Linked DNA regions of Xenopus tropicalis. The protein of the gene in region 2 interacts with the protein of the main gene of each other region in a pairwise test. Links are inferred from orthologs where the notes say so. Each region holds a gene or a part of one and is shown on either strand. Other genes may lie near its edges. The genes, in order: atrip and cinp.

Region 1 (3,029 bases), on a different chromosome or scaffold from region 2:
GAGTATTAGTGCAGCACTAGCCAAAGAAGCCTATAAAGGGTGGAGTAGGCCCTTTATTTCATGGTGGTTTAGCTACTCTTTAATAGCTGACAAATAGTAGTTTTATACAAGTTGTTTATTCCGGATTTGATATAAATGTTTTTTGTTTTGTTTTTTGGTGCACTTGTTTCCTCTAAATGTAGGAGTATGGTTTCTCCTTTTTTTCCCCTAACCCCCCTATTTGCACAAAACTAGTTTTAAATGTTCTGTAAAGTTTCAATGCCACTGTTAAAAACTATTATGGAAAAAACACACGACCGGCCACTGTAGTGTTCCATGTTATAATGGCTGTGTTTAGTTAAACATTCTCTATCCAGTAAAGTTTGTTTTTTTTCATAAAGTGTTTCCTTTTTGAAAAAAAAAAAAAAAAAAAAGCATTCTATTCTTTCAAGATGTAAACGACACCATTTGTGTGCCAAGAAAGACGTACAGGTGAAATTGTCAGTCCCACAAGGAAGATGCAGTCAGATAGGATAGTCAGGAACTGTACTATTTTACTAACAAATAAAAAAAACACATCTACCTTTTGATAAAGTTTGACTTTGTGTATTCAGCTTTTATAGGAAAAAAAAAAATTGATGCACCAAAAAGTTTTGTTTTTGACCGTTCCAGCCTATATGTAAGGAATGTCTCCCAGCTTTTCAGCCCAAACCCTTTCTCCAGTCCAGATCTGGCACAATAAATAAGAGAGAGTGCAATAAATACAGCAGGTTTCATATAATTTTGTACAAGGTTGGAATTTATTTTATTTTTTAGAGTACAGTATTTACAGCTACACAATACTGAAAACAAATAGTAAAGGGTTTGCAGAGAGAACTGCACTGACATAAAAAGTTCATTAAAAGAGACCACAGCTTATAGGAAGACCCAAGGTAGCAGTCATGTGCAATCCATGTATTCATCCTCTGTTTCAACTTCCGGGGGGCAGAGCTCATCCAATGCATATTCTGTAACACATATATATAAGCTGAGAAGCCGCAACAAAGTCCATCCAGAAAGAATCAGAAGGAAGAGTTTTTCATGATTTTAATTTCCATAGTGGTAATGTAACAGCAAGGGGGCAAACAATCAGAATGTATCATTGACTACATGAAAACATTTCTGATTGGTTGTTGGTTACAAGATTTAAAGAGGACCTACTACCCTGCATTTAATATTTAGTTTAGTGCATAATTTAATAAAAAAAAGCAGGTAAGCAAATTTTGGAAAAATGTTTACCTTCATTTTCTTTCAACACCTGCACCTTCTTGAAGAGAGCCCGGACCCCAGGTAAGGCCTGGTCATACTGGTGCAGGACCTCCAGGCAGTGCTCATGAAAGTTCCTGTCCTTCTGAGAAAGAGAGTGCAGCAGCAGCACAGCGTCCCGCAAGAACTGCACCACCTTGTTTTTAGTAGTGGTCAGCAGATGGAGTGACAGGCGCCGCAAACCCAGCCACTCCCGGTGCAGCATCAGGACCACTGCTTTAACAACCTGCATAAAAAGGAGACAAGGGCAGGATTGGTAAATACACCGTAACAGCAACTGCTGATTAACTCACAATGATGGGCCTATCCAACCCTGCACGGCATAGCAGGATTATAAGAGGAGAAAATAGTTATATCTATAAATACATTTATCATATAAATACCAAACAAAATTACACCCAGCCTTTCATAACATTCTGGTAATGTGTCCCGGGAACTTACCTCCCGCTCACACTGGCATACAGTCTCTGAGGTGGTGTTGATTGGGTTCCAGCCTATCACAGACAGTTTGGTAAGGAAACGGACCACCTAGTAAAAAGCAAATCATTATCATATTATATATTCAATGACAGTATAAAGACATGAGGTGAAAGCCAAGTGCTTTAATGCAGGTCATTGGAACTTTGAGGTGACTACAAATATCCTTCTCTGGGTTGCATTGGGGGTGTCCAGGACTTCCACCCCAGTTGTTCCTGGATTATCAGCCAGCCAGCCACCCCCCCATTGGTTAATACTAATGTGCTAATTTATTAGGGTGCAAGTTCAAGGCCAATCTGGGCTGGCAGGGCCCACCAGGTTTTTTCCCGGTGTCCCGCCGGCTCAGTCCGACCCTGATCCTCTTTGAAACCAAAATTCATTTTTATATTTATTATTCAAACCCGTTATAAATGCATTTAAAAATCCCAGCTGTCAATCATAACTACCTGCCCCGCCTCTATGCCACAGCACTCACATTCCCCCAACCTTCTCACTATCTAATTGTGTAGCCAGTGCATGGGAAAGGGAACCAGGTCCCCCATTCTGGCACATACACTAGATTTGGGGGTGATACAAAGCTTGCCTTAATAACAGTGCCCACAAAATGGCAGCTGCCTGCGATTTTTATTTTCAAGATTTATATAATTTATACAGTTTGTGCAGTTCATTTTGCTTAACAAACACATTAGAAAAGAAATTGGAATTATTTCTTAGGGTGACAGGTCACCTTTAAAGCACAGTTAATCCTAGAGAATATACACTATTTATGACGCCTTAAAGGAGATCTGAAGTTTAACTGAAAAAGGAGGACAGAAATGCTGTACATTGTGTTTTGGGCTTCTGTACCAGCCCAAGGCAACCACAGGCCTTTAGCAGGGAAGATCTGTGCCCCAAAGATGCCCCAGTAGCCCCCCATCTTCTTTTCTGCTGATTCACTGCATAATATTTGTGCTGATTTACTCAATTATGGTGCAGGGTGCTAGTATATATCTAAATTTTAAGCCAGACAGATTGAGAAGTCAAGGGGAAATACTTCTAGATCTGCCTGTGCAAAAAGTATGCACCTGAAGAAATACAAATTTCAGGCAATATTCAGTGTTATTCTGTTTATTCTGGCAACAAAAAACTTTAACCTAGTGCAAACAAATGTAATAGTCCCCCATATTTGGAGGAGGTCTCTTAAATACCCATTTCTATTACAGAATCAACCACTCTGAGGCAGAAAAACAAATTTACATGTACAACACTGCTGCCTGCAAATTTACCAG
Region 2 (4,532 bases):
ATGGACAGCCCTGCCTAAACCTAATGTTTAATCACAGTCATAAGTCATATAATGACTGCCTTTCTTCTGGTAGAACTTTGTAACACTAGGTTTTCTTATTGGAAGCTACTATTACTTTTAGAAAGTCAGCAACTGGCTCAAGAGAACCGTCTTCCTGAACAGCCTAAGCAATAAACCAATACCTTTTAATACGTCATTGCCAAAAGTAGACTGCTAGTACTAACCCCAGATATGTGGGGTTTTGCCCCTTGAAAGAGGGCAAGCCTACAGTAACTGAAACTCTGTGCAATTAAGTGATATAGCTGCCTAACAACAAATTAAAAGGCATTGTAATGTATTATTATCATGTGTTTATAAAGTGCCAACATATTCTAAAGCACTGCACAAGGAATGGGTGTATATATTAAACAAATAGATTTTTCAACAAAATCAACCAATACAAGAGGTAAAAAGGGCCCTGTTCAGTGTTGCCTTTTCTACTGCTTGAAAGAAGCCCACAACATGCTACCTTACAGCTTGATAACTAAAAATATAATTTGTGTATATAAAGTCTTTAAAGCATAAAAGACAGGCTAGCACCTAATTTCCTTATGGAACATTAAGGAACCACATTTGTCAAATATCCTTAGGGACAGCTGTGATTGTAAAGATGTTAAAAATTCTCTTGATGAGATGTATCAAAAGATGATAGATAGATAGATAGATAGATAGATAGATAGATAGATAGATACTCTTACAAGAAGAGAAGTATGAATGAAATCACCCAGATGTACATTACGCAGCTTTCTGGAAAAAGTAAGGATGCTTCTTAAAGATAAAAAGGACAAAATATACCATCAAAACAAAATATGTACACTAAATGCAGATAAAAGTGTTCAGTAACATTGGAGCGTGCTAATCAAGATCAGTGTGTGTCATGTGCATAAATAAATATATATACAAAACATGTCTAGTCTAGGGCCATCCAGCGCTAATGACAGTGCAGGAGGGCAGCAGATGGCACATGTTATGTACTTTATGGTTAGATCTAAAGGCAGGGAGTGTGTGATGAAAGCTGCTAGATTCTTTTTGCTATGAGTGCATATATTTGCTTAATAACAGTAGATGATACACACATTAAGCACAGTGCTGATGGCACAGCAGATGAGCAACAGCTGGCAAGCCTCAGCTCAGTAGCACTAAGAGAAGCTATGCCAAATATGTACAATATAGTGAATAATAAACGTTAAGCAATGCTGTTTTATATAAGCCTTCTCCTGCCCCCTCTAAAGTATTTGGGGGCTTCTTCATCCACACTCACCTGTTTCTCGAGTGTTAGTCACGGCTTTGAAAACCCTTTCGCATCCAGGAACCTGACGCAGCTAAAACATACTCCCCACTCTCTATAATCACAACACTGTACAGACACCACTTAGGTACCGCCCACATTAGCATGAATCGGTCCTTCCGTTCTAGTCCGGAAAGCGGAAATTGTTGTGTGCGTTCCACTGCGTTCCACTGCGTTGCACATGGGAACCGAGAGCAAGGAGAGAGGGCATGCATAGTAGAGTGAGATAGAATGTAACAGATTACCGTGCTACTGAATGTATGCTGATACAATGGAAAGTAAGTTGCTTTGGAAGTTTGGTAAAACTGCAGACTTTTGCCAATTCAGGTTGCAGAGTGACTATTACGGGCGTGAGTGGAACATCGAATCTAGACGTTTTAAAAAAGGAAGGTTTCTTTCGGGGCAGGTATAGCTGAAGGGTGACTGCCAAATAGCACCCACGTTTGTATAATATAAGTGGTTGTAATAGTAATGGGCTACTGTGGGTGACTTTTTGTAGAATTTTGAATTTAGAATGTAATATAAATAAGCCATTGTCCATTTGCTATGATTTTTAAGGGCATTGTCCCTTACCTATGCCTTACTGTGTCCAATGATGTCTTCTGAACTGGTCCACTAGGGAAGAGGGGATATCTGGAGGGCCTGACTTTTGTTTACCCTATATCAGCGTTTTTCAACCACTGTTCGAGATGTTGCCTGGTGTGCCGTAGGCAGGGCACCAATGTACTAGGGGGGCACTGCTCTTGGCACCAATGTACTAGGGGGGCACTGCTCTTGGCACCAATGTACTAGGGGGCACTGCTGCTGGGCACCAATGTACTAGGGGGGCACTGCTCTTGGCACCAATGTACTAGGGGGGCACTGCTGCTGGGCACCAATGTACTAGGGGGGCACTGCTCTTGGCACCAATGTACTAGGGGGGCACTGCTCTTGGCACCAATGTACTAGGGGGCACTGCTGCTGGGCACCAATGTACTAGGGGGGCACTGCTCTTGGCACCAATGTACTAGGGGGGCACTGCTGCTGGGCACCAATGTACTAGGGGGGCACTGCTCTTGGCACCAATGTACTAGGGGGGCACTGCTGCTGGGCACCAATGTACTAGGGGGGCACTGCTGCTGGGCACAGAGTTAAATTTTTTAACATTTTCTAATGGTGGTGTGCCTCGTGATTTTTTTCATGAAACAAGTGTGCCTTTGCCCAAAAAAGGTTGAAAAACACTGCCCTATATCATTAATACTTACAGACATCTATATTGTGGGGTCTGAGGATTTAATACTTAGTTCATAGCTTTCTAAAGAATTCTGAAATCCTCACTACCAGTGTGTATAAATAAACTTAGCAGGGCCAGTCATTACCCATCTGCTGGACCATAATGCTGCTTTGTGGATATGCAGAAAATTTACACACTGAAGGCTTCCCAGGTTTGTATTAACGTCACTTCCAGTTTTATCCACAACCTGATCCACTACACAGCAAAACAAAGATGCAGGTCTGGGCAGTTAAAATGTGCGTCTAATTGGACAGGATTGTACTACAGAGACCTTATCCGCACACCCTAGCGCTCCAAAATTATATGCCCGGTGCACACTGCTGGAGGGATCGGCACCCTCCAAAACCAGTACAACCACAAAAAAAGCAAATGGCACTCAGGGCTACAAACAAGGGAAAACCCTTAAAAAGTTTATTGCGGAGGTGCACCTCCGCAATAAACTTTTTAAGGGTTTTCCCTTGTTTGTAGCCCTGAGTGCCATTTGCTTTTTTTGTGGTTCTAATTGGACAGGGCCATAGAGGGCCATATCAAATGTATCAGTCCCAGTGATAGCTTGATCAGTGCATGAAATTAAAAATTATAATGTATTTTTGATTTGCCGCAATTCAAACAAGAGACGCAATACAAAAATCTGAATTTGCTCAAACCTATTCATTCAAATTTTGAGACAGACTGTGGTTGTGCCCATAGTTCAACTTTATTAGGGATTTAGTTTGCCTGAATTTTTCAGGCTGTTAGGATAAGGCAGTAAAACGATATTAGAAACCTATTACCTGTGAGAATATTCTGAAATTATTCAGTCACATTCACAATTAGTTCTAAAACAGCAAAGGGATTCTTTAGGTTAGATATGGTGTGCCTTTTGCTTTGGATTTCTGTACCACCTTAACACAGTGAAAGTTTTTGCCTTCTAGAATGCTTCCAGTTCTTCCTGTTTTGATTATATATATCACATGCACTTTACTGCTATCAGTTACTTGAGCTTAGGGTCTCAATTACAATATACAGTAAATACATTTACTTGATGAGACACGTTTGTAATTCATTCAAATTCACATCAGAGTTGTCCAACAACATGCAATCTTGTGAGAGGACAGTCAACACCAGTGCCAGATAGAAACCCTTAATGCAACCTAATTAAAATCTTTGTGTGCAATGATGCCCAAATAGACATTGTACAGTGCCAACCAACAATAAAATTAAAATATTCAATAGAGATATTATCATAATCCAGTATGGACGGTAGAGGATAATACTCGCCAAACTGGAGAGCCCCAATGTGAAATAAATATAGTTACATATTTTACAAAAAGCAATGATATTCAGTCTGTTCATTGAGGCCTTTAGGTGATACCTTATTCAGTCTGTATGTCCATCTGGCTTTGTGTTACAGAATTATTCTTTCTCTGTCATCATTCCACTTAGGTCTTGGAACATGTTCTAATATTTGAACTCTCAACTGAGATGAATTATGATTTTTTTTCTTTAAAGTGTCTAATGTGTCAAATAATATCCTTAATTTTATAATAATATTGACAATAGGTTTGGACACATGCTATATTATCTTTTACTTCTATCTTGATTTTGAAGCAATGATCCTCTGTCCAAATCCAATAATTTATTTTCTGCTTTCTATAGTATATTTCTTGGGTAGCCCCTGTCAATAAATATTTGTTTAATATCATTAATTGTTTCTGGTAACACTTCATGATTACTAATTATCCATTTAACCCTAGCCATTTGACTGAATGGAATAGAACGTACCTGAGCTTTTGGATGAAAACTCCTGGCTTGGAGAGAACTATTGGTCTCCAGTGTTTTTTGGTATAAGTCAGTTTGAATACTGGTTTCTATTTTCCGTCTCTTTACATCCAAAAACTCCATCTCTGTAGAGGAGGTATATTTGAATATATAATATATATATATATATAT

The links.
Region 1: the proteins of cinp (region 2) and atrip interact in binary tests that used the Homo sapiens proteins (3 or more experiments, as listed by UniProt). The link is inferred for Xenopus tropicalis from reciprocal best matches to the Homo sapiens genes CINP and ATRIP.

What each region holds. Positions count from the first base shown.
Region 1 is NC_030680.2:123,888,747-123,891,775, forward strand, and holds the end of atrip (ATR-interacting protein), read right to left. Parts: intron 1,813-3,029; coding exon 1,726-1,812; intron 1,511-1,725; coding exon 1,258-1,510; intron 987-1,257; coding exon 919-986; 3' UTR 762-918; downstream 1-761. UniProt on the Homo sapiens protein: Required for checkpoint signaling after DNA damage. Required for ATR expression, possibly by stabilizing the protein.
Region 2 is NC_030684.2:97,543,857-97,548,388, reverse strand, and holds the start of cinp (cyclin-dependent kinase 2-interacting protein), read left to right. Parts: upstream 1-1,479; 5' UTR 1,480-1,583; coding exon 1,584-1,605; intron 1,606-4,532. UniProt on the Homo sapiens protein: Component of the DNA replication complex, which interacts with two kinases, CDK2 and CDC7, thereby providing a functional and physical link between CDK2 and CDC7 during firing of the origins of replication.